Linked DNA regions of Anolis sagrei. The protein of the gene in region 3 purifies or fractionates together with the protein of the main gene of each other region. This does not show direct contact. Links are inferred from orthologs where the notes say so. Each region holds a gene or a part of one and is shown on either strand. Other genes may lie near its edges.

Region 1 (7,148 bases), on a different chromosome or scaffold from region 3:
GTGTGGTTTCTGTTTTATAATTTCCTATTTTCTAGATGGCAACATCCAGAGCACATTGGAATTTAAGACAAATTGAAGACCCATCTCTTTTGGTAGGCCTACCCAGTAAATTTTAAATTGTGAAGTTTAATCTAAATTTTATCAATGGATTTAATTTATATTTTAACTCTGGGTATCTTGTATGTCTTTTAATAGCGATTTATCTCTTGTTGTAATAATGGTGTACCCTGACTCAAGCCGCAAGGAGAGGCGGGTAATAAATTCATCATCATCATCATTAGATTAATAACAAGATTAGTACACAGCAAACAAGATCATTCCACTGGCTTTTGTATTTGATCACATGCCAGACACTTCCCAAGGACTGTGTGATGTATTGGCGAATAATGCGTGCAAATCCGACTCAAGATGGCTCACAGATAAAACTGGTTAAAATCAAACAATATTGTTTAATTTTTAAAATTTAAAATATAAAATTATTTTTACGTATTTATATTTATTTATTTATTTATTTAGAACTTTTATATACTGGTATTCTCACCTCCGACGAGCGACTCAGGCCGGTTATATGTCTTATATGTAGTAAATTATTATTATCTGTTTAGGTGGCACAGAGTTATAACTCTTTAATAATTCACAATTTTGCTTATATGAACGTAAGGCTTTTAAATTTCATGAACACACCAAACAGTACCATTTTAATATGCTAAGCAAGTTATAAATGAAGCTTTTTAATGTTACTAAAGTAATAAAATAAACCTAGGGCAATTATTTCGATTCCCCTCTAAATTTGTTTCCTCATCTTGGAAAAGTGTTTTTAAAAAGCAGGAAAAAAACATAAGAAAAAGAGAAAGCAGCATCCATATTTATTAATGTATACGCTACCTTTTCCCCAGGATAGAACCAAACAGGAAACAACATTTATAACCTAGGAACAAAACTCGTGTTACATAGTGTTATTATCCTTCAACCCTGACTTTCTGTATGGAAAAGAGAATGCCAATCTCTAAAGCAGGCATGGGCAAACTTTGGCCCTCTAGCTGTTTTGGACTTCAACTCACACAACTCCTAACACCTGGAGGGCCAAAGTTTGCCCATGCTTGCTCTTGGTAAGGTAAAGGTAAAGGTTTTCCCCTGACATTAAGTCCAGTTGTGTCTGACTCTGGGGGTTGGTGCTCATCTCCATTTCTAAGCCGAAGAGCCGTCGTTGTCCATAGACACCTCCAAGGTCATGTGGCCAGCATGACTGCATGGAGCGCTGTTACCTTCCCGCCAGAGTGGTACCTATTGATCTACTCACATTGGCATGTTTTCAAACTGCTATGTTGGCAGAACATGCTTGCTCTAAAGGCAGTGGTTCTCAACCTGTAGGTCACCAGGTGTTTTGCTTACAGCTACCTGAAATTGCAGCCAGTTTACCAGCTGTTAGGATCCTGGGAGTTGAAGGCCAAGACATCTGGGGACACACAGATTGAGAAACACTGGGCCCCGATCTTCACGATCTCATCTCCCTCTATGAACCGGCACAAACTTTAAAATCTTCCAAGGAGGCCCTCCTCTCGCTCCCACCCCGTCACAAGTACGGTTGGTGGGAATGAGAGAGAGGGCCTTCTCGGTGGTGGCCCCCCCGCCTCTGGAACGCCCTTCCTAGAGAAGTAAGACAGGCCCCATCCCTCCTCTCCTTTCATAAGAGCCTGAAGATCTGGTGGTTTAAACAAGACTTTGAGGACGACTAGTTCTAGCTCAGCCCCAGATACTGTTGAATATGGTCATATCTTTTTCTACCAAGTACCCAGGTTACTTCCTCCTATTAGGCCCTGGAAATGAACAGCCATAGACTCTACCTAATTTCCTGGGCCCTCTACAAATTGCACTAGCCTTGGCCTGGCCTTTTAAATTGCCTTGAACAGGCAGGATTATTTTAAATATATATGTGCTATTGTGATTTTTATGCTTATATTGTCTTGTTAATTTTATGTTGTTTACTTTGAATGTATTGATGATGTTACTTGGAAACCGCTCTGAGTCCCCTCGGGGTTTATTTATTTATAATGTCAGGAGCGAACCAAACCAGTTGTATTGCATTAAAAAACAGACAAACAAACAAACAAAACACAAAATTTGCAGACTTGGTATTCTATTAGATGTCCTTTGACCACTAGCTGGCCACTTGGAGTGCCTCTGGTGTTGCTGCAAGAAGGTCCTCCATTGCGCATGTGGCAGGGCTCAGGCTGCATTGCAGTAGGTGGTCTGTGGTTTGCTCTTCTCCACAATCTCATGTCGTGGATTCTACTTTGTAGCCCTATTTCTTAAGGTTGGCTCTGCATCTTGTGGTGCCAGAGCGCAGTCTGTTCAGCGCCTTCCATGTCGCCCAGTTTTCTGTGTGCCCAGGGGGGAGTCTCTCATTTGGTTTCAGCCATTGATTGAGGTTCTGGGTTTGAGCCTGCCACTTTTGGACTCTCGCTTGCTGAGGTGTTCCAGCGAGTGTCTCTGTAAATCTTAGAAAACTATTTCTTGATTTAAATTGTTGGCGTGCTGGCTGATACCCAAACAGAGGATGCGCCGGAGATGTCACTGCCTTGGTCCTTTCACTATTGGTTGCTACTTTCCAGCAGATGTCAGGTGGTGCGATACCGGCTAAACAGTGTAATTTCTCCAATGGTGTAGGGCGCAGACATTCCTACACCACTGGCATGTCTCATTAAGAGCCACATCTACTGTTTTAGTGTGGTGAGATGTGTTCCACATTGGGCATGCATACTCAGCAGCAGAGTAGCATGACGCAAGGGCCTATGTCTTCACTGTGTCCGGTTGTGATCCCCAGGTTGTGCCAGTCAGCTTTCATATGATATTGTTTCTAGCACCCACTTTTTGCTTGATATTCAGGCAGTGCTTCTTGTAGGTCAGAGCATGGTCCAGAGTGACTCCCAGGTATTTGGGTGTGCTGCAATGCTCCAGTGGGATTCCTTCCCAGTAATCCTCAGAGCTCAGGATGCTTGTCTGTTCTTGAGGTGAAAAGCACATGTATGTGTTTTAGATGGATTAGGGATCAGTGGGTTTTCCCCATAATGGGCAGTAAGAGCACCTAGAGCAGGGGTCCTCAAACTAAGGCCCAGGGGCCGGATACAGCCCTCCAAAGTAATTTATCAGGCCCTCGCTCAGGGTCAACCTAAGTCTGAAACTACTTGAAAGCACACAACAACAACAACAACAATCCTACCTTTCCAGCCAAAAGCAGGCCCACACTTCCCATTGAAATACTAATAAGTTTGTATTTGGTAAAATTGTTCTTCATTTTAATTATTGTATTGTTTTAAAGTGTTTTTTGCACTACAAATGAAATATGTGCAGCGTGCATAGGAATTTCTATTTTTTTCCAATTATAATCCGGCCCTCCAACAGTTGAAGGACTGTGACCTGGCCCTTTGTTTAAAAAGTTTGAGGACCCCTGATCTAGAGCATCGGAGAGCTTCTGTTCAACCATCTCAAAGTTTCCTGCTTGAGCAGTAATGGCATGATCGTCAGCATAGATGAAACTCTCTGTCCCTTCTGGCAGTGGCTGGTCATTTGTGTAGATGTTGAACATGGATGGAGCGAGCATGCTCCCCTGAGGCAGGCCGTTCTTCTGTTTCCGCCATCTGCTTCTCTGGCCCTGGAACTCAACAAAAAAGCTCTTGTTTTGTAGCAGGTTTCCTATGAGGCGGGTGAGGTGGTCGTCCTTTGTGATATTATACATTTTTCTAAGGAGGAGGCGGTGACTGACAGTATCATAAGCTGCTGACAGGTCTATGAAGACAGCTCCTAGGGGTGGTAGAGCGGTATAGAAATAAAGTTTTGTTGTTGTAAGGCGACACATGTCTCGGGTCATCTGATGAAAGCGCTCCGCCTGAAAAAGGAATCGGCCAATCCCTTTCCTCCTGCTGACGTTCCAAATTCGAGCAGCCAATCCAGTCTTTCCCTCAAGTATCCGAGCTGGGAAGAACCAATCAGATGGGCAAGGCTCGGCGAAAATCAATCTGGCCCATGGAGAGAGAGAATGATAGTTCCTCCCTCCCTCCGTCCCGCCCTCGGGCCAGTTTCCCGCTCCTCTGCCTTTAATTTTGCGACAGTGTTGAAAACGCGCGGTGGGGGGTAGCTTTACGGCAGGAAGGTGAGAGGCTGAACAATAGAGCGCGCGCAAGGAGGAAGAGGGGAGAGGAAGAGGCCGTGAGGAGAAAGAGAGGGAGAGGGAGAGGGGGTGGGTCGAGGCTGGATGCCCGGGGGCGGGGCCCGTGCGAGTTGTTCTGAGGGCGGCTGAGCCCCAGAGGCGGCGGGTTCGGTCCCCGGCCGCGGCCTTCTCGCCCGCGGCGGCCTTTCCTTCGGACTGGAGCCGCCCTGCCCTGAGGAGAAGATGAGCCTCTCGCCGAAGGAGCTGTCGAGCCTGCTGAGCATCGTCTCGGAGGAGGCGGGCGGGGGCAGTTTCGAGGGCCTCTCCACGGCCTTCCACCACTACTTCGGCAAGGCCGAGCACTTCCGCGTGGGCTCCGTGCTAGTGCTGCTCCTCCAGCAGCCCGACCTGCTGCCCACGCCGCCGCAGCGCCTCACCGCCCTCTACCTACTCTGGGAGATGTACCGCACCGAGCCCCTCGCCGCCAACCCCTTCGCCGCCATCTTCGCCCACCTCCTCAACCCCGCGCCGCCCGAGCGCGCCAGCGCCGCCCCCGGAGCGCCCCCCGCCACCGCCGCCCAGCCCAACGCCAGCGCCGCCCCGGGATCCGCGGGATCCGGCTCAGCTGGGCCAGGCCCGGCCGGAGCGGGGGGTGGAGGCGCCGGCGACGACGGCGAGAAGCCCCCGCTCTCAGGTAAGCCACCCATTCAGGTCTGCACAACCTGTGGCCCTCTAACCCAGGCCTGGGCCAACCTGGGCCCTCCAGACGTTTTGGACCCCAACTCCCACCATTCCTAACAGCCTCAGGCCCTTTCCTTTTCCCCCTCAGCCGCAGCGGCAGAGTGGGAAAAGGAAAGGGCCTGAGGCTGTTAGGAATGGTGGGAGTTGGGGGTCCAAAACGTCTGGAGGGCCCAGGTTGGCCCAGGCCTGCTCTAGCTGATCTGGCCTCCCAACTCCCAGAATTCTGCACCATTGGACCAACTGGGAGTTGGAGGCCCAAGCACCTGGAGGGTACAGGCCTCAGCTAGGTATGGATGTTTGTTTGTTTGAACCACACGTGCTCCTATATTGCGTGATGGATCCAAACTTGGCACACATATCCCTCGTGATCCAAATTAAAATACTTGTGGGTTGTTTTCTTGTTTAGCTTTTTTATCGTTTCAGGAGCGACTTGAGAAACTGCAAATTGCTTCTGGTGTGAGAGAATTGGCCGTCTATAAGGATGTTGCCCCCAGGGGACATCCAGATGTGTTACTTCTCTCATGTCTCTGCATGGGAAGTTAGAGTTGACAGATGGGAACTCACCCTACCTCCAATATTCAAACCGCCGACCTTTTGGTCAGCAGTCCTGGGTTTCACCGATTGCATCTCTGGGGGCGGGGTTGATACAGCAAGATGAGAGTTGTAGTCCAGTCACATCTGAAGAAGCATGTGAATCCCACCCACAATAGGTCTGGAGAAAGCTGGCTCATATATACCAATCATGACCAATGTTAGGGGGGTTAAACTACCTCCCCCCCCCCTCTCAGAGCTTAAGGAAGGAAAAAGGACATTATATTGAAAGATATATAAGTATGAGAAAAAGAGAACTAGAAAAAAGTGGGGTGGAAAATAAAAGGCACTCAAAGTGGCCAGCTACTGGTCAAAGGACATTTAGTATAATGCCAAGTTTTTAACTTTGTTTGCGTTTTTTAAATACATTACAACTGTAACCTTGGTTCGCTTCTGACACGATAAATAAATAAATACTTTGCATTGTCTTGTCACCAGTTAAATCTTGATGTCTGTGCCTTCGCAAAAGGTCTCTCTAGTATGTATTGCTGAATTATTGATTTTAATATTATTCTGAAAGATATCTAGAAAAAAATAAAGTAAAATGTAAAAGGAGAAATAGAAAGAAAAAGGGAAAGAAGGAGAACAATAAGATTATTACTGTCATCTTGTCAGCAATGAGATATTGCTGCTGTGTGCCTTCACATGTTTTTTCAGTCATGCTTTATCTAGTGATGCTAATTTTGTTGTGGAGCCCCTGTGGCACAATGAGTTAAACCCTTGTGTTGGCAGGACTGCTGACTGAAATGTTGGCAGTTCGAATCTGGGGAAGCAGGGTGAGCTCTTTCCTGTCAGCTCCAGCTTTCCATGCGGGGACATGAGATAAGCCACCCATAGGGTGGTAAAACATCCAGGCGTCCCCTGGGCAACATCCTTGCAGACAACCAATTATTTCGCACCAGAAGCGACTTGCAGTTTCTCAAGTCGCTCTAGACACTTTTAAAATTATCATTGATTTTAACTTTACACTTAAATGTATCTTAACATTTTTAAAAAGAAATACAGAAAGAAAAAAGATTATTTCTATTGTCTTTTCAGCAGTTTTAATTTGACAGTGTGTGCCTTCACAGAAGACTTCTTTGATAGTGGTGTCACTATTGATATTGTTATTGATTTTAACATTACACTGAAAGTTATCTGGAAAAGGAAAGGGAAAAAAGAGAAAAATAAGGAAAAAGGGAAAAAAATCAGATGACTTATCTTCATCTTTTCAGTAAATAGATATTGTTCTGTTTGCCTTCATAGAAGGTTACCCTGGTAGTGCTTTATCTACTGATATTATTGCCATTGATTTTAAACACTACACTGAAAGACCTCTATAACAATAATGAAAAATTAAATATAGTTGTTGCAGTGTGCTTCACAGAAGGTTTCTCTAGTAGTGCTTTATCTGCTGTTGTCTTCATTGATTTTAAAATTACACTGAAAAATATCTAGAAAAAACAAAAGAAAATAGAGGTAGAGAAAAGAAAAAAAGATTTCCAATCATATTTTCAGAAGTTATACATACTATATATGTTCTTTATCTGGAAATCTGAAATATACAAAATTATTCACATGGGTAGTTGGGATAGAGACGCCTTTGCTTTCTTGTGGTTCAATGTACACAGGCTTTATTTCATGCACAAGATTATTACAATCTTGTGTATAAAATTCCCTTAAGGCTATA
Region 2 (7,513 bases), on a different chromosome or scaffold from region 3:
GACAGACTATGTTCATATTTACAATCCAACCACAATGAAAGGGCTGCATTATTCCCCTCGCATACACATTAGACAGTGAAACTAGAGACAAATCATTTTGATCAGATAAATCATTCTCAATATAAAGTTCAGCATCAAAGCCTGCCAATCTGAAATGTTCATAGAGACAGAAATGTTTGTTAACAGGCAAGTCAAATAAAGGATTGATTTTTTTTAAGAAAAAGGACATTAATAAGCTTACATAACAATGTACTTACCATGTTAAGGTGTGCAAAATGAGAAGCACCTCGTGTTACAATCTTTGTTCCCATTAAGTATCCAGACCAGAAAACTAATACTTGTCACTGTCCATCTGTTCAAAATGTTTGCCTCATTAGGATATTGATGACAGCTATAAGCAGCAAAGCAGGTTTATAAGCAAAGATAAAAAACATGATCTTGCATTACACTATTTACAGCACACACTCTACACGCTAAAGAACCTTTATGCTGCTCTCATATACAGGATCCAGCTAGAAAATGTCTTACTATCCACACTCTGAATAAGTGGTTCAATGTGACAAACAGCTTAAAAATCTATTGGTAGGATTGCATAGATTCACTGTATGTTAACTCCCAAATTCCTTGTTGTATAATGCAAAGAATACTGAGACTGTACATATTCTTGGCAATGCTGATAATTATGTGTTGTTTGTATTGTGTTAAAAAAGCATAAACTACATAAACTAAAATGTGTAAACAACCTGTCTGTTGATTCTACTGTAGTCTTGAATATGATTGGGAGTAGGTTACATACCAGGGACCTGAGCCATAACAGCCAAGCCATCCCTTAATAGCAGTACAGTAACCTGACACCTGTCTTATAATAAACTATGTATATACATACAATCAACTTTGCCTTATAAACTGCATTTTAGTGTCCAAAATGATTTATCTGTGATTGTCCAAATATCCAGCATTAAAATATCCTAATCAGAATTAAATGTGGTGAACAGGACTTAAACACCCAGTTCCCAATAAGTGAGCCTTTTTAACCTGACAGCTCTGCCACCCACTAACCTATATTTCTAGTGATCTTTCTCAGCACAGCCCACACCCTGTATTTTTAATAGAAACGACTTCCACACAAGTATAATCCTCAATATCAAGCCCTTGAATAGGCAGGCCTATTCATTTCCCCTCAAATCGTATTCAAGTCAATCCTTTCCTTCAGTCTCTACCTTTAAATTGCATAAAGACTCACCTAGCAAGGTTTTCAGTCTGTTTTTGACCTATTTACTCAGATTCAAATCCTAATGAGTTCAAAGTGATTTAATCCTTAATGCGGAGGTTAGCAAATGACAACATAGGTACGACATATAACACACAAGGCCACCTTTTCTTCTTCAGCTGGGGAGTGCCACTAGGGCTAAGTTTTTCAAGGACTGCAGTCTCAGCTTAACCATTTCATACAGCATTATCCTACCCTTGTCGATTTATGTATCATATCAATAGAGCTGTTCTATTTAAATGAAACTGCCCAATGTCTGACAGAATTATTTAACACTAATGCATTGCCATCAATTTTCAACAGGCAACCTCAAAGAGAGGCTAAATTATTTTTTAATTCCAAAAAGCAAACCTTGATTTTACCATTTTATATAAGGGACATTGTTTTACTAAGTATATTATGAGGCTTCCATATCCAGATTTTGGTATACATGGAGGTTCTGAAATAAAACCCCAGAGATAGTAAGAGCCCACTGCAATTGTCAGATCTCCATGGCTTGCTAATCACTCCTTTTTTTTCTCCAACCCTTCCCAGGAACCACCCACACCTTCCAAGAGTAGACCTCTGTATCCTATCCACACTTGCATGGAAGTAAATCCATTGGTCCTGGAGGAGCCTACTGCCAGTTTCACCACTACCTGATCATACACACATCTACTCTGAAGCAATTCCCACTGATTCTTCTCCCACTCCAGGTGCATTAATTTATAAGTCACAGCCTGGGCCTTTAGGCAGAATAAAGATGCACCTGCAGTGTAAAATTAATGCAGTTTGACACCATTTTAACCGCCATAGGTGTTTTTTTGTGTGTGTGGGGAGTGACTTGAGAAACTGCAAGTAGCTTCTGGTGTGAGAACTGGCCATCTGCAAGGCTGTTGCCCAGGGGACACCCGGATGTTTTACCATCCAATGGGAGGCTTCTCTCATGTCCCCGCATGAGAAGCTGAAGCTGACAAGGGTTTAACCCACGGTGCCACCGGGGGCTCCATAGGTGAATACTATGCCATAGGTGAAGGCTATAGAATCATGGGAGATTTAGTTTTACAAGTGCTTTGGCCTTTTCTGCCAAAGAATCTGGGGCTTCACCAAACAACAGCTCCCTGGATTCCATAGCATCATCCATGACAGTTAAAGCAGTGTCAAACTGCATTATTTCCATAATATCGAATAGATGCATTCCAAAAGATGCTTGTAACCTCCCCCCTACTCCACCCACCCAACAAATCAGGAGGCACAACCCTGTCAGTCTGGAAAATGAGTCTGCAAAGGGCTCTTGTAGTACCTTTAAGACTAAGGCTGGATCTACACTACAATATAATCCACATTGTCTGCTTTGAACTGGATTATATAGGGGTCCTTCCATCCTGCCCCTTTATCCCAGGATCTGATCCCAGATTATCTGATTATCTCAGGATACCTGGCAGCGGGGACTCGTATATTCCAGTTTAAAGCAGATAATCTGAGATCAGATCCGGGGATAAGGGCAGTGTGAAAGGGCCATAAATCTTCACTGCCATGTAATCCAGTTCAAATCAGATAATTATCTCCACTTTAAAAGCAAATGTTTCAAATCCTCTCGCATCAGACAGTAGGGTAAAGTTTCCTATTGTTGTCTTACTGCACTGCCCCAAAGGCCTGGTCCCACAGCCAAGTTTTTACCATCTTTCTGAAGGACAGGAGGGAGGGGGCTGATCTAATCTCACCAGGGAGAGATTTTCATAGCCGAGGGGCAATCACTGAGAAGGCCCTCTCTCTCTCTTGTCCCCACCAATCTCAACAGTGACAGGACCCAGAGCAGGCCCTCCCTGGAAGATCTTAGTCTCCGGATGGTTCACAGAGGGAGAAAATCCCACAATATCTGCTTTGAACTGGGTTATCTGAATCCACACTGCCATAAATTCCAGTTTAAAGCAGAAAATGTGGGATTTTATACAGCTGCGTGGCATTGGTCTCAGATAACCCAGTTCAAAGGAGATAGATACTGTGAGATTTTTGCCTTGATATTCTGGGTTATAGGGCTGTGTGGAAGGTCCCTTATTCTCTATACCAGGCATGGACAAACTTGGGCCTTTTTCCAGGTGTTTTGGACTCCCAGCTTCCACAATCCCTAACAGTGGCTGTTAGGAATTATGGGTGAAGTCCAAAACACCTGGAAAAAGGCCCAAGTTTGCCCATGCCTGGCTGTTAGTGATTGTGGAAATGGGAGTCCAAAAGACCTGGTGGGAGGGCCCAAATTTGCTCAGGCCTGTGCCACACTGTAGAATGGCGCCACTTTCACCAAAATGACTCAGTGCTACGGACTTTTGGACTTCCAATTCTCACAATCCCTAACAGTCTATGGAATTATGGGAGTTGAAGTCCAAAACACCTGGAAAAAGGCCCAAGTTTGCCCATGCCTGGCTGTTAGTGATTGTGGAAATTGGGAGTCCAAAAGACCTGGCGGGAGGGGCCCAAGTTTGCTCAGGCCTGTGCCACACTGTAGAATGGCGTCACTTTCACCGAAATGACTCAATGCTATGGAGAACGGAGAGTTGCAGTTTGACAAACACTGCCGGTGCCTCACCGAACTGCAACTCCAGAGCATTGAGCCACGGGCCAGGCGGCATCCATGCCCCTTTTACCAGAGGTCATACTTACTTACCTACTTTACTTAGGCAATCCCTCGTTGGACAAGTAGGATAGTCTTCCAGGATCAATATTCTTGTGACTGTGGAGCCCTATTCTTGACCTGTACCTTCTCCCTCAGTGAGGGCATTGGTTTCCAGGTGGAAGGCAGTCTTGGTCGGGGTTGGCTTGATGCATCCTCCTCTTGGAACGTTTCTGTCTTTCACCCTCCATTTGTGCCTCTTTAAATTCTGCAGCACTGCTGGTCACAGCTGACCTCCAGCTGGAGCGCTCAAGGGCCAGGGCTTCCCAGCTCTCAGTGTCTATGCCAGAATTTTTAAGGTTGGCTTTGTGGCCGAAGCCTACCGGACTCACCACGCGTGGCCTTTCCTCCGGACCTCCCAGCGACCCCAAACGCCGCCATCTTCAGGCCCAACCGCTTCCTTCGGCGGAGGACCCTGAAGCCTGCCTGCCTGCCTGCCTACCGCCGCCATGATGCTTATTTGCTTCCCATGAGCGGGAGGCGGAGGAAGAAGAGGAGGCGGAGGCGGCGGCAGCAGCGGTGGGGGGAGCCTGTTCTCCCGTCCGGCCCGCGGCAGGAAACAAAGAGCCAGGCAGGCAGCGGAGACGAGACGGGGATGCGGCAGCCACAGGTACGGAGCGAGGAGGACGAGAAGGGGGCGGATGGAGGGAGCAGGAACTAGGGGAGATGAGAAAAAGCTCTCTCCTCTCTGAGGGACGGTTGGTCGGAGGACGAGGAGGAGGACGGGGGCGCCTCTGAGGAGGCCCTGAGGGAGATGAAGCGCCCCTGAGGGGGAAACGAGAGCGTGGGCGTCACCTCCTTCTCAGGGAAGGAAGAAAGGAGAACCTAAACCAGTCAGGCGGCAAGATGGAGAAGCCTGAGCCAGGCCTCAGGGTGGCTTGGTTGCTTTCTTGGCACAAAAGGCCCGCTTCTGTTAGGGTGAAGGCCATTGGGCCTACGAAGAGGAGCTCACACACACATATATATCAGGGCCTGGGCGAACTTGGGCCTTCCTGCAGGTGTTTTGGACTACAACTCCCACAATTCCTCACGGCCTCAGGCCCTTTCCTTTGCCCCCTCAGCCGCTTAAGCCGCTTAAGCGGCTGAGGGGGCAAAGGAAAGGGCCTGAGGCCGTGAGGAATTGTGGGAGTTGTAGTCCAAAACACCTGGAGGGAAGGCCCAAGTTCGCCCAGGCCCTGATAGGCGTTTGTTGTTGTTGTTGTGTTGTGGTAGTGGCGCGTGGGCCTAGCTGCGGCTGAGCCTTCCTGGAAGCCGCGGCGAGGCTCCGAAGGAAGTGACGTCCTCGGTCCTAAGTGCTTGTTGACAAGAGCCGGGCTTGAGGGGGGCGGGAGAGGGGGCGAGGAGGCGGAAGGCAGGCAGGCAAGAGCAAGGCAGGCAGGCAGGCCGGCTCGGATCCCTGCCCTGGGAGCCTGCGGACCCACCCGCCCTGGAGCCCAGAGCCTCTCCTTTCCCCCGAAGCCCCTCCGAAGGAAGCCCGAGGTCTCAGGTATCGCCTCATCTGGAAAAGAAAGGAAACTTGCGCCAGGCAGCTGCTTCTCTTTTCCCTTCCTTTCCCTCCCATTCCCTCCCTCCTCCCCCATTGCCTCGATTTCAGTAAGCTTTGTTGTCATTGCTCTGCACAAAAGCCCTTGCTCCCTTCCTTCCTTCCTTGCTTGCTTCCTCCGTGGGAAAACAAAAAACCTGTATTTCGTGATGGGAGTCAAGCTTAGCCTAGGCTGCTGCTGCTGCTCGCAGGCCCAGCCACAATAGGCAGCCTGTGTCTGAAATAGAAAGGCAAGAGCGTTAGCTGAGGGGGTGATTGGCAGCCCTGCTGGCCAATGGAAAAGGAGATAGGGGGCAGGGATGTATGCCGTGCAGGTAGGTGGCTGGGCCACAGAGGCTGGGGGACACGCACAGATAGGGGTAAACAGGAGGATTAGGAGGCAGAGCTCTGCGGGCTAGGTACAAAAGCAAGTCTGTTCGGTATGTTTTTGCATAAAGGATAGCATTAAGCTGCTAAAGCTTTGCTAGCCATTCAGAATAAAGGGGAGACTTTATAGCATATATATTGTAAGTATATGCTTACAATATGCTTATAGGGGGTTGGACTGGATGGCCCATGAGGTCTCTTCCAACTCTTTGATTCTATGATTCTAAGTTTCAAGGTTCTCAAAAAATTCTTAATCAGCTATGTTTATTGAAGTTATGTGTGTGTTTTAATGTGAGTTATCAATAAAAGGTATTCTTTATTATATTTATACCCTGCTTTATCTCCCCAGAAGGGGACTCAAAGCAGCTTAGCATAATAATAATAATATATATAAATAAAAATGTAATCAGGCACATCAAATCACTCTCAACAAAAGATTCCAAGGGAACTCAAAGCAGCTTAGCATAATAATAATATATATAAATAAAAATGTAATCAGGCACATCAAATCACTCTCAACAAAAGATTCCTCCCAGACACTTCCAAGCCATTAAATGCTAATCAAGGTGGTCAGTTGAAACATTCACACCTAGTTCCAGCAGACAAAAGTTCTTTGTCTCACCCTGGTCATTCCACAGATATATAAACCCATTTTCCTACTTCCAACAGACCTCACTACCTCTGAGGATGCTTGCCATAGATGCAGGCGAAACGTCAGGAGAAAATGCCTCTAGAACATGGCCATATAGCCTGGAAAAACCTACAACAACCCAATGTAATGTTAGTTTGTGGGATTAACATAACTCAAAAACCACTGGGCGAATTGACACCAAATTTGGATGCAAGTCACCTATCAGGACAACAAGTGAGCATCACATATAAAACACTGAAAAACGCAGCAGAAGAGACTTAAAAAGCCAAAAAAACAAAACAAAAATACATTACAACGCACGCATAAAACCACACATATATATGCAAACATACATATGCACAAACATACACACACACATACACACAAAACACATATAGACAGACTGGGTCACGGCAACGCGTAGCAGGGGACAGCTAATAATAATAATAATCCGGCATATAGCTCTTGTTTGCTGTGACACACTGTGATTTTGTGTCAGTAAAATATAATAATAATAATTGACAATAAACATTGACAAAATCGCAATCTCTCAACTGCAAAAGGCCACCTTACTTGGATCTGCGCGCATCATTTGAAAATACATCACAAAGTCCTAGACGCTTAGGAAGCATTCAACTTGTGATTTGTGATACGAAATCCAGCATATAGATTTCATTTGCTGTGACATACTGTGTTATTGTGTCAGTAAAATAATAATAATAATAATGCACACATTATTCGCCAATACATCACACAGTCCTAGACACTTGGGAAGTGTCTGACGTGTGATCAAATACAAAAGCCAGCATACTGATCTTGTGCTGTGTACTTATCTTGTTATGTATTAAATAATAATAAAATGAGGATTTAAATATCGAACTGCAAAGACTCTGGCCCAAGCCAGTAAAGGAGGTCCCAGTGGTGATCGGCACACTGGGTGCAGTGCGTAAAGAGCTTGGCCTGCACTTAAAAACAATAGGCGCTGACAAAATTATCATCTGTCAGCTGCAAAAGGCCACCCTACTTATATCATCATGTATTATTCACTAATATATC
Region 3 (7,255 bases):
GACCGCTGTTAACCTTATCCAATGACTGATCAGGACCAAATTTCACACAGAGACCTCTCATGACCCACTTTACGTCCTGGTGTGGTTTGGCCGAGATGGACCGTGGATTATGGGACTTGCAGTACCATTGCTCAATTCTTCAGACCACTGCAACCCTCATCCAATTACCGATAAATACCAAACTTGGCACACTGAGTCTCCATGACGCACTCTACATCCAGGTGCAGTTTGAGGGAGGATGCACCATGGACGATGGAACTTGCAATACCTGCACTCCCTTCCTAAGACCATTACAACTGCCAACGATGATGGATCAGGACCACAATTTACACAGAGAGCCTGCATAACTCACTCTACATCCTGGTGCGGTTTGGAAGAATTTGACAATGGATGATGGGACTTGCAGTCACTTCACTCACTTCCTGAGGCCACTGAGACCCTCGCCAATGACTCATCAAGACTAAACTTGGCACATGGAGCATCAATGACCCACTCTACATCCTGGAGCAGTTTGGAGGACGACAGACCATGGATGATGGGACTTCAAGTACCTCCACTACCCAAGACTGCTGCAAAACTCATATAATGACCAATACAGACCGAAATAGGCACACAGAGCCCCCATGACCCACTCTACATCCTGCTGCAGTTTTGGAGAAGGGTGGACCATGGATGATGGAACTTCCAGTACCTTCACTCACATTCTGAGACCTCTGCAAACCTCATCCAATGACGGATCAAGACCAAACTTGGCACATAGACCTCTCATGACCCACTTTACGTCCTGGTGTTGTTTGGAAAAATTTGGAGATGGATGATGGGACTTGCAGTACCTTTGCTCACTTCCTGAGACCACTGAGACCCTCGCCAATGACTCATCAAGACTAAACTTGGCACATGGAGCTCCAATGACCCACTCTACATCCTGGTGCAGTTTGGAGGAGGACAGACCATGGATGATGGGACTTCAAGTACCTCCACTTCCTTCCAAAGATTGCTGCAACCCTCTTCTAATGACCAATCAAGACCACACTTGGCACACAGAGCCCCCATGATCCACTCTACATCCTGCTGCAGTTTGAAAGGGGATGGACTTTGGATGATGGGACTTGCAGTACCTTCACTCACTTACTGCCACCACTGCTACCCTCATCTAATGACTGATAAAGACCAAACTTGGCACACAGAGCCCCATGACCCACTCTATATCCTGCTGCTGTTTGTAGGAGGATGGCCCATGGATGATGGGACTTCAAGTACCTTCACTCACTTCCTGAAAATAATGCAGCCATTATCCAAAGACCAATAAAGACCAAACTTGGCATACAGAACCACCATTACCCACTTTCTCTAATAACCCGGGCAGCGCCGGGTCCCCAAGCTAGTATATAATAAAGAAGAGTGTTTGTTTGTATAGGACAGAGGAATTGTGGAGGGCGGAAGTGTATGTGGCAGCGTTCTGATTGGCTGCCACTGTGGTGCTATTTGCATATGGTCTCTGATTGGACAGCTTCAATAGGAGCCCCTGGTGGAGAAGAGGGTTCATGGCAGAAACGGGGCATGACAGAAGGAAATTTGCATATGGTCTCTGATTGGCCAGCCTCAAATCCAACATTCCGAGATGACAAAGAGAGGAAAGGAAAGGCCAAAGGGGGCTGGGTCAGAACACTCCCAATACAGACCGAAATAGGCACACAGAGCCCCCATCACCCACTCTACATCCTACTGCAGTTTGGAGGAGGATGAACCATGGATGATGGGACTTGCAGTACCACCACTCACATTCTGAGACCTCTGTTAACCTCATCCAATGACTGATCAGGACTAAACTTCGCACACAGACCTCTCATGACCCACTGTACGTCCTGGTGTGGTTTGGCCGGGGATGGACCGTGGATTATGGGACTTGCAGTACCATTGCTCAATTCTTCAGACCACTGCAACCCTCATCCAATTACCGATAAATACCAAACTTGGCACACTGAGTCTCCATGACACACTCTACATGCAGGTGCAGTTTGAAGGAGGATGCACCATGGACGATGGGACTTGCAATACCTGCACTCCCTTCCTAAGACCATTACAACTGCCAACGATGATGGATCAGGACCACAATTTACACGGAGAGCCCGCATAACTCACTCTACATCCTGGTGCGGTTTGGAAGAATTTGACAATGGATGATGGGACTTGCAGCCACTTCACTCACTTCCTGAGACCACTGAGACCCTCGCCAATGACTCATCAAGACTAAACTTGGCACATGGAGCTTCAATGACCCACTCTACATCCTGGAGCAGTCTGGAGGACGACAGACCATGGATGATGGGACTTCAAGTACCTACACTACCCAAGACTGCTGCAAAACTCATCTAATGACCAATCAAGACCAACGTTGGCACACAGAGCCCCCATGACCCACTCTACATCCTGCTGCAGTTTTGGAGAAGGGTGGACCATGGATGATGGAACTTCCAGTACCTTCACTCACATTCTGAGACCTCTGCAAACCTCATCCAATGACGGATCAAGACCAAACTTGCCACATAGACCTCTCATGACCCACGTTACGTCCTGGTGTTGTTTGGAAAACTTTGGAGATGGATGATGGGACTTGCAGTACCTTTACTCACTTCCTGAGACCATTGAGACCCTCGCCAATGACTCATCAAGACTAAACTTGCCACATGGAGCGCCAATGACCCACTCTACATCCTGCTGCAGTTTGGAGGAGGACAGACCATGGATGATGGGACTTCAAGTACCTCCACTCCCTTCCAAGGATTGCTGTAACCCTCTTCTAATGACCAATCAAGACCAAACTTGGCACACAGAGCCCCCATGATCCACTTTACATCCTGCTGCAGTTTGAAAGGGGATGGACTTTGGATGATGGGACTTGCAGTACCTTCACTCACTTACTGACACCACTGCCACCCTCATCTAATGACTGATAAAGACCAAACTTGGCACACAGAGCCCCCATGACCCATTCTATATCCTGCTGCTGTTTGTAGGAGGATGGGCCATGGATGATGGGACTTCAAGTACCTTCACTCACTTCCTAAAAATAATGCAGCCGTTATCCAAAGACCAATAAAGACCAAACTTGGCATACAGAACCGCCATTACCCACTTTCTCTAATAACCCGGGCAACGCCGGGTCCCCAAGCTAGTAATAATAATAATAATGATACGAAATCCAGCATATATATCACATTTGCTGTATCATATTGTGTTTTTGTGTCAGTAAAATAATAATAATAATAATGTGATACAAAATCCAGCATATATATCTCATTTGCTGTGACATACTGTGTTTTTGTGTCAGTAAAATAATAATAATAATAATAATAATGTGATACAAAATCCAGCATATATATTTCATTTGCTGTGACATACTGTGTTTTTGTGTCAGTAAAATAATAATAATAATAATAATAATAATAATAATAATAATAATAATAATGTGATACAAAATCCAGCATTTATATCTCGTTTGCTGTGCCATATTGTGTTTTTGTGTCAATAATAATAATAATATTCTTTTGTCTGGATAATTTACCATGTCTTTGCCTGTGAAACCCTTAGTATTTTGATATATATAGACTAGTATAAATAGACACAAGATGCGACCCTGGTAGAGGCTTGGCAAACAGCTCTGGAGGAGTATGAAAATAATTGGGATCCATTGTGGCTTGTAGAAAAATGAAGTATCTGAGCGGCAAGAACAACAATGTCTGTTCTGCCTTTTTCTCTCTCTCCTTCAGAGGCATTCTGCCTGCTTTCAAATTTCCCTTAAAAGGGAGAGACTGTGTGGTTCCACCTCCTTCGGCCTGGTGTTCAGATGCAAGCTACGGAGCAGGGCTGTTTACACTCTCTGGGCTGTGTTTCAGTCTCAGGCCGTTTTTGTCACACGGCGGGAGAGTTTTCCTTTTCATCCTCGGGTTCACTTCTGTTCTTGAGTGCTGAACTAGCAGAGCAATAGCCAGTTGGAACGGCTTCTGGCACGCACCCTCCCCATAACCCTGTTCCTCCTCCTGGCCAGGGTTTGGCCCTCTCTAGAAATCTAGTGGGAGGCTGTTGCCGTAGCGACGGGAGCAGGCCCCAGCTTTACCTCACTGAATTCCAGGGCCGGTGCCAAGCAATTGAGAAATCGGGAGGAGGGGGAAGTACTCCAGATGTTTACTCGCTGCTCTGCATATCCGGGTTGGGAGCAGACACAGCTGAGACGGAGGACCGAGCAGCAACGCTTCCTGTTGCTCGAAGGGGTGGAGAAGCAAGGGCTTGGAAAGAGAAGGGAGATTCGGGCTTGCAAGGCAGCCAAAGGGGAGTGTTGTGGCAAAGTGACAAAGGAAGGGGGAAAGGAGGCAGCACAAGAGTTCAAGGCACAGATTTGGCATGAGAAGGAGCAGTGTCTCTGGCAGGGTGTGACAGAGGTGGAGCAGGGGCAGTGCTGCGTGGAGCAGAGCAAGAGAAAGCTAACAGCTTTATGAGTGTCACATTCCCATCCTTCAACATGAGTCACGGCCTGGGTGCTTGCAAGAGACTCGCTCCCTTCATCCATGTTCCAGCCTGCCCTGGGAGCGGCCTGCCATGAAACCGACTCTGCGTCTGTGCAAAAGAGCCCATGGATCCCTATAGTTAAGTTAGTAAGGACATCTTTAATCCATATATCTCCTGAATGTGTTGGGATTAGAAAGGAAGGAACAACCAAAACAAAAGAAAGAAAGAAAGAAAGAAAGAAAGAAAGAAAAGAAAAAGAAAAAGGGAGGCTTATGCTGGAAAAGGAACCAGGTGGAAAGGTTATACCAAACTTGGGGGGGGGGGGGGGGGGCTTTGGTGTCCTAAGAGATAGGAAACCTTGTTAACCTGTTTACAGATTTATATTTTTCCACAGGTTGTCTAAACTCATCTTTTTCTGCTTTAGGGACTGACATTTATGTGGAGTTCTGAATCCCAGCTTGGTGATGTGATGGATCCTAAGCCCCAGCCGCTGTCCTCCCTCCTTCCCTGTACTGCTGCCAATGGACGTGGGGGGCCCAAGCAACCATCAGGCAACCCAGAGACAGGTATGTCCTGTGATTTTAGCCTTTAGCTTGAGGAGCAGTATCATTGGGTACACCTACACTGTAGAATTAATGCAGTTTTGACACCATTAGAACTGCCAAGGCTCCATGCTATGGAATCATTGGTGTTGTAGTCATACCTAAAATTGATAGTGTACGAGGTGGTAATCTCAAGCTTGAACTTCTGCAATGCATTTTACATTGGGCTACTTATGCACCAAGTTTGGAAACTTCCCTTTGTTCAAAACACAGCAGCCAGACTAGTTACAGGAACACCCAGGAGTGAACGTATTACATCTATACTATAGTCACGCTTCTGGTTGCCCCAGGCAAAGTACAAACTGTTGGTTTTGAACTTTAAAACCCTACATGGCTTAGGTCCAGGTTACATACAGGATCACCTTCTCCCATACAATACACCCTGCACACTTAGGTCCTCTGGGGGCTGCTACTCCTACCAGACAGAACTTGACTGTCACTCAGAGGACCTTTACATCAGCTGCCCCAGGTCTCTAGAATGACCTGCGAGAAGAAATCCGACAACTAAATTAGACCAATCTCTTCTTATACAGCTACCCAGTCAATTCTAAACTGAATTTTCTACTCATGTCTTGTGTTTGCTGTTTTAATTGTTGTTCTGTGATTTTTAATATATGTATTTCATAGAAATACATTTTAATAGATGTATTTAGCATAATGGGTTGTTGTAGGTTTTTTCAGGCTATATGGCCATGTTCTAGAGGCATTCTCTCCTGATGTTTTGCCTGCACCTATGGCAAGCATCCTCAGAGGTTATGAGGTCAGACTTCATAACCTCTGAGAATGCTTGCCATAGATGCAGGTGAAACGTCAGGAGAGAATGCCTCTAGAACATGGCCATATAGCCCAGAAAACCCTACAACAACCCAGTGATTCTGGCCATGAAAGGCTTCGACAATATTTTGCATAATGTTTTACAATTATGTGTTTTTAACTGTGTTGTGCCCCACACGAGCCTCAAGAAATAATAATAATAATAATAATAATAATAATAATAATAATATCTATCATTTTCTGCCCAAAAGGGCTGGTGCCTCACCAGACTACACATCTTAAGATTCCATATCATTGAGCCATGGCAATTTAAAGTGATGTCAAGCTGCATTAATTTGACAGTGTAGATGCGTCAATTGTCATTAAATCATGCATTGTTTTATCAAATTTATAGAGGCTCTGGATTTTCCTGTTTAGGGGTGATGGGTCATCTGAGAGTTGAGAACCAGTTGTTTTTGTTTTTAGATTACATGATATCGTTCATGCTTAATTGGAGTGCTGTAGGCTCTTACTTTTATATGCATGAGGAGGATTTTTTTCTTTGTCTTCTTTTTTAATATGGTTCAAACGTATATTCATCAACTGCTGTTTGCAGTGGAGCTCCCCCCCCCTCCAAGAGCTGTGTCATATGATTCTTCTTACCTTAAAGATATTACAGTTTATATGCAGTCCTGAGGGACTTCACAGGTGGTATTAGTAGTAATTTAGAGGCTCATCCAGTCTAGCTTGTGTCCAACGTTACATATCATCTTTAATTTTTCTTTGTGCTGATAGCACTGTGAGATTATAGATTTACAGAGGAGCAGTGCTACACTAAATGTTTCTGAGGTCTAATTGTTTTTTTTTTTACTTACAAATGAACTATCGAAGAGTGCTCTTAGTTTCACTGCCCACCAGTCCAGCTCTGTGAAATTTTATTCTTAGTCATGCTCCAGTTATACACAAATAACTGAAGCCTATCATGGGTAGCCATGTATCTGAATTTTGATGCATTGGGTAGCCATGTATCTGAATTTTGATGCATTGAGGAAGTGTTCATTACCTTATCATAGTGATTAACATCCCCATAGCTGTACCTTTCCCTGAATTAACAAGTGTATAGAACTTTCACAGTGGCTTTATGAGAAACATAATAGAAATGAGGTTTTAGATTTTGCTGTAATAGGGATGATAGCAAAATATGCCCAGCTCTAATCAGCTTCTACCCCATTTCTGTTTAATGCTGGTTGTAATAATCTAATGGAGAGAAACAATGGGTGCTTTTATACTTAGTGGTGCCTAACACAAGGTGGTCTAACCTGAGAAGAAACCACAGCTGTAAAAAGAAATTGGAGTAAAGGACTTGGAAAGAAGATGCATGGCTTTGTCATTTT

Evidence for each region. The genes of interacting proteins can lie anywhere in the genome.
Region 1: the proteins of TNKS1BP1 (region 3) and CNOT11 purify together in Homo sapiens (affinity purification with mass spectrometry; 5 studies listed by BioGRID and IntAct, counting the BioPlex papers as one, with this or other methods). This does not show direct contact. The link is inferred for Anolis sagrei from reciprocal best matches to the Homo sapiens genes TNKS1BP1 and CNOT11.
Region 2: the proteins of TNKS1BP1 (region 3) and CNOT6 purify together in Homo sapiens (affinity purification with mass spectrometry; 3 studies listed by BioGRID and IntAct, with this or other methods). This does not show direct contact. The link is inferred for Anolis sagrei from reciprocal best matches to the Homo sapiens genes TNKS1BP1 and CNOT6.

The regions. Positions count from the first base shown.
Region 1 is NC_090023.1:103,549,719-103,556,866, forward strand, and holds the start of CNOT11 (CCR4-NOT transcription complex subunit 11), read left to right. Parts: upstream 1-4,062; 5' UTR 4,063-4,390; coding exon 4,391-4,841; intron 4,842-7,148. UniProt on the Homo sapiens protein: Component of the CCR4-NOT complex which is one of the major cellular mRNA deadenylases and is linked to various cellular processes including bulk mRNA degradation, miRNA-mediated repression, translational repression during translational initiation and general transcription regulation.
Region 2 is NC_090022.1:87,485,015-87,492,527, reverse strand, and holds the start of CNOT6 (CCR4-NOT transcription complex subunit 6), read left to right. Parts: upstream 1-4,427; 5' UTR 4,428-4,527; intron 4,528-5,285; exon of another isoform or gene 5,286-5,403; intron 5,404-7,513. UniProt on the Homo sapiens protein: Poly(A) nuclease with 3'-5' RNase activity.
Region 3 is NC_090021.1:233,714,114-233,721,368, reverse strand, and holds the start of TNKS1BP1 (182 kDa tankyrase-1-binding protein), read left to right. Parts: upstream 1-4,187; 5' UTR 4,188-4,565; coding exon 4,566-4,652; intron 4,653-4,693; exon of another isoform or gene 4,694-4,797; intron 4,798-4,930; coding exon 4,931-5,072; intron 5,073-7,255.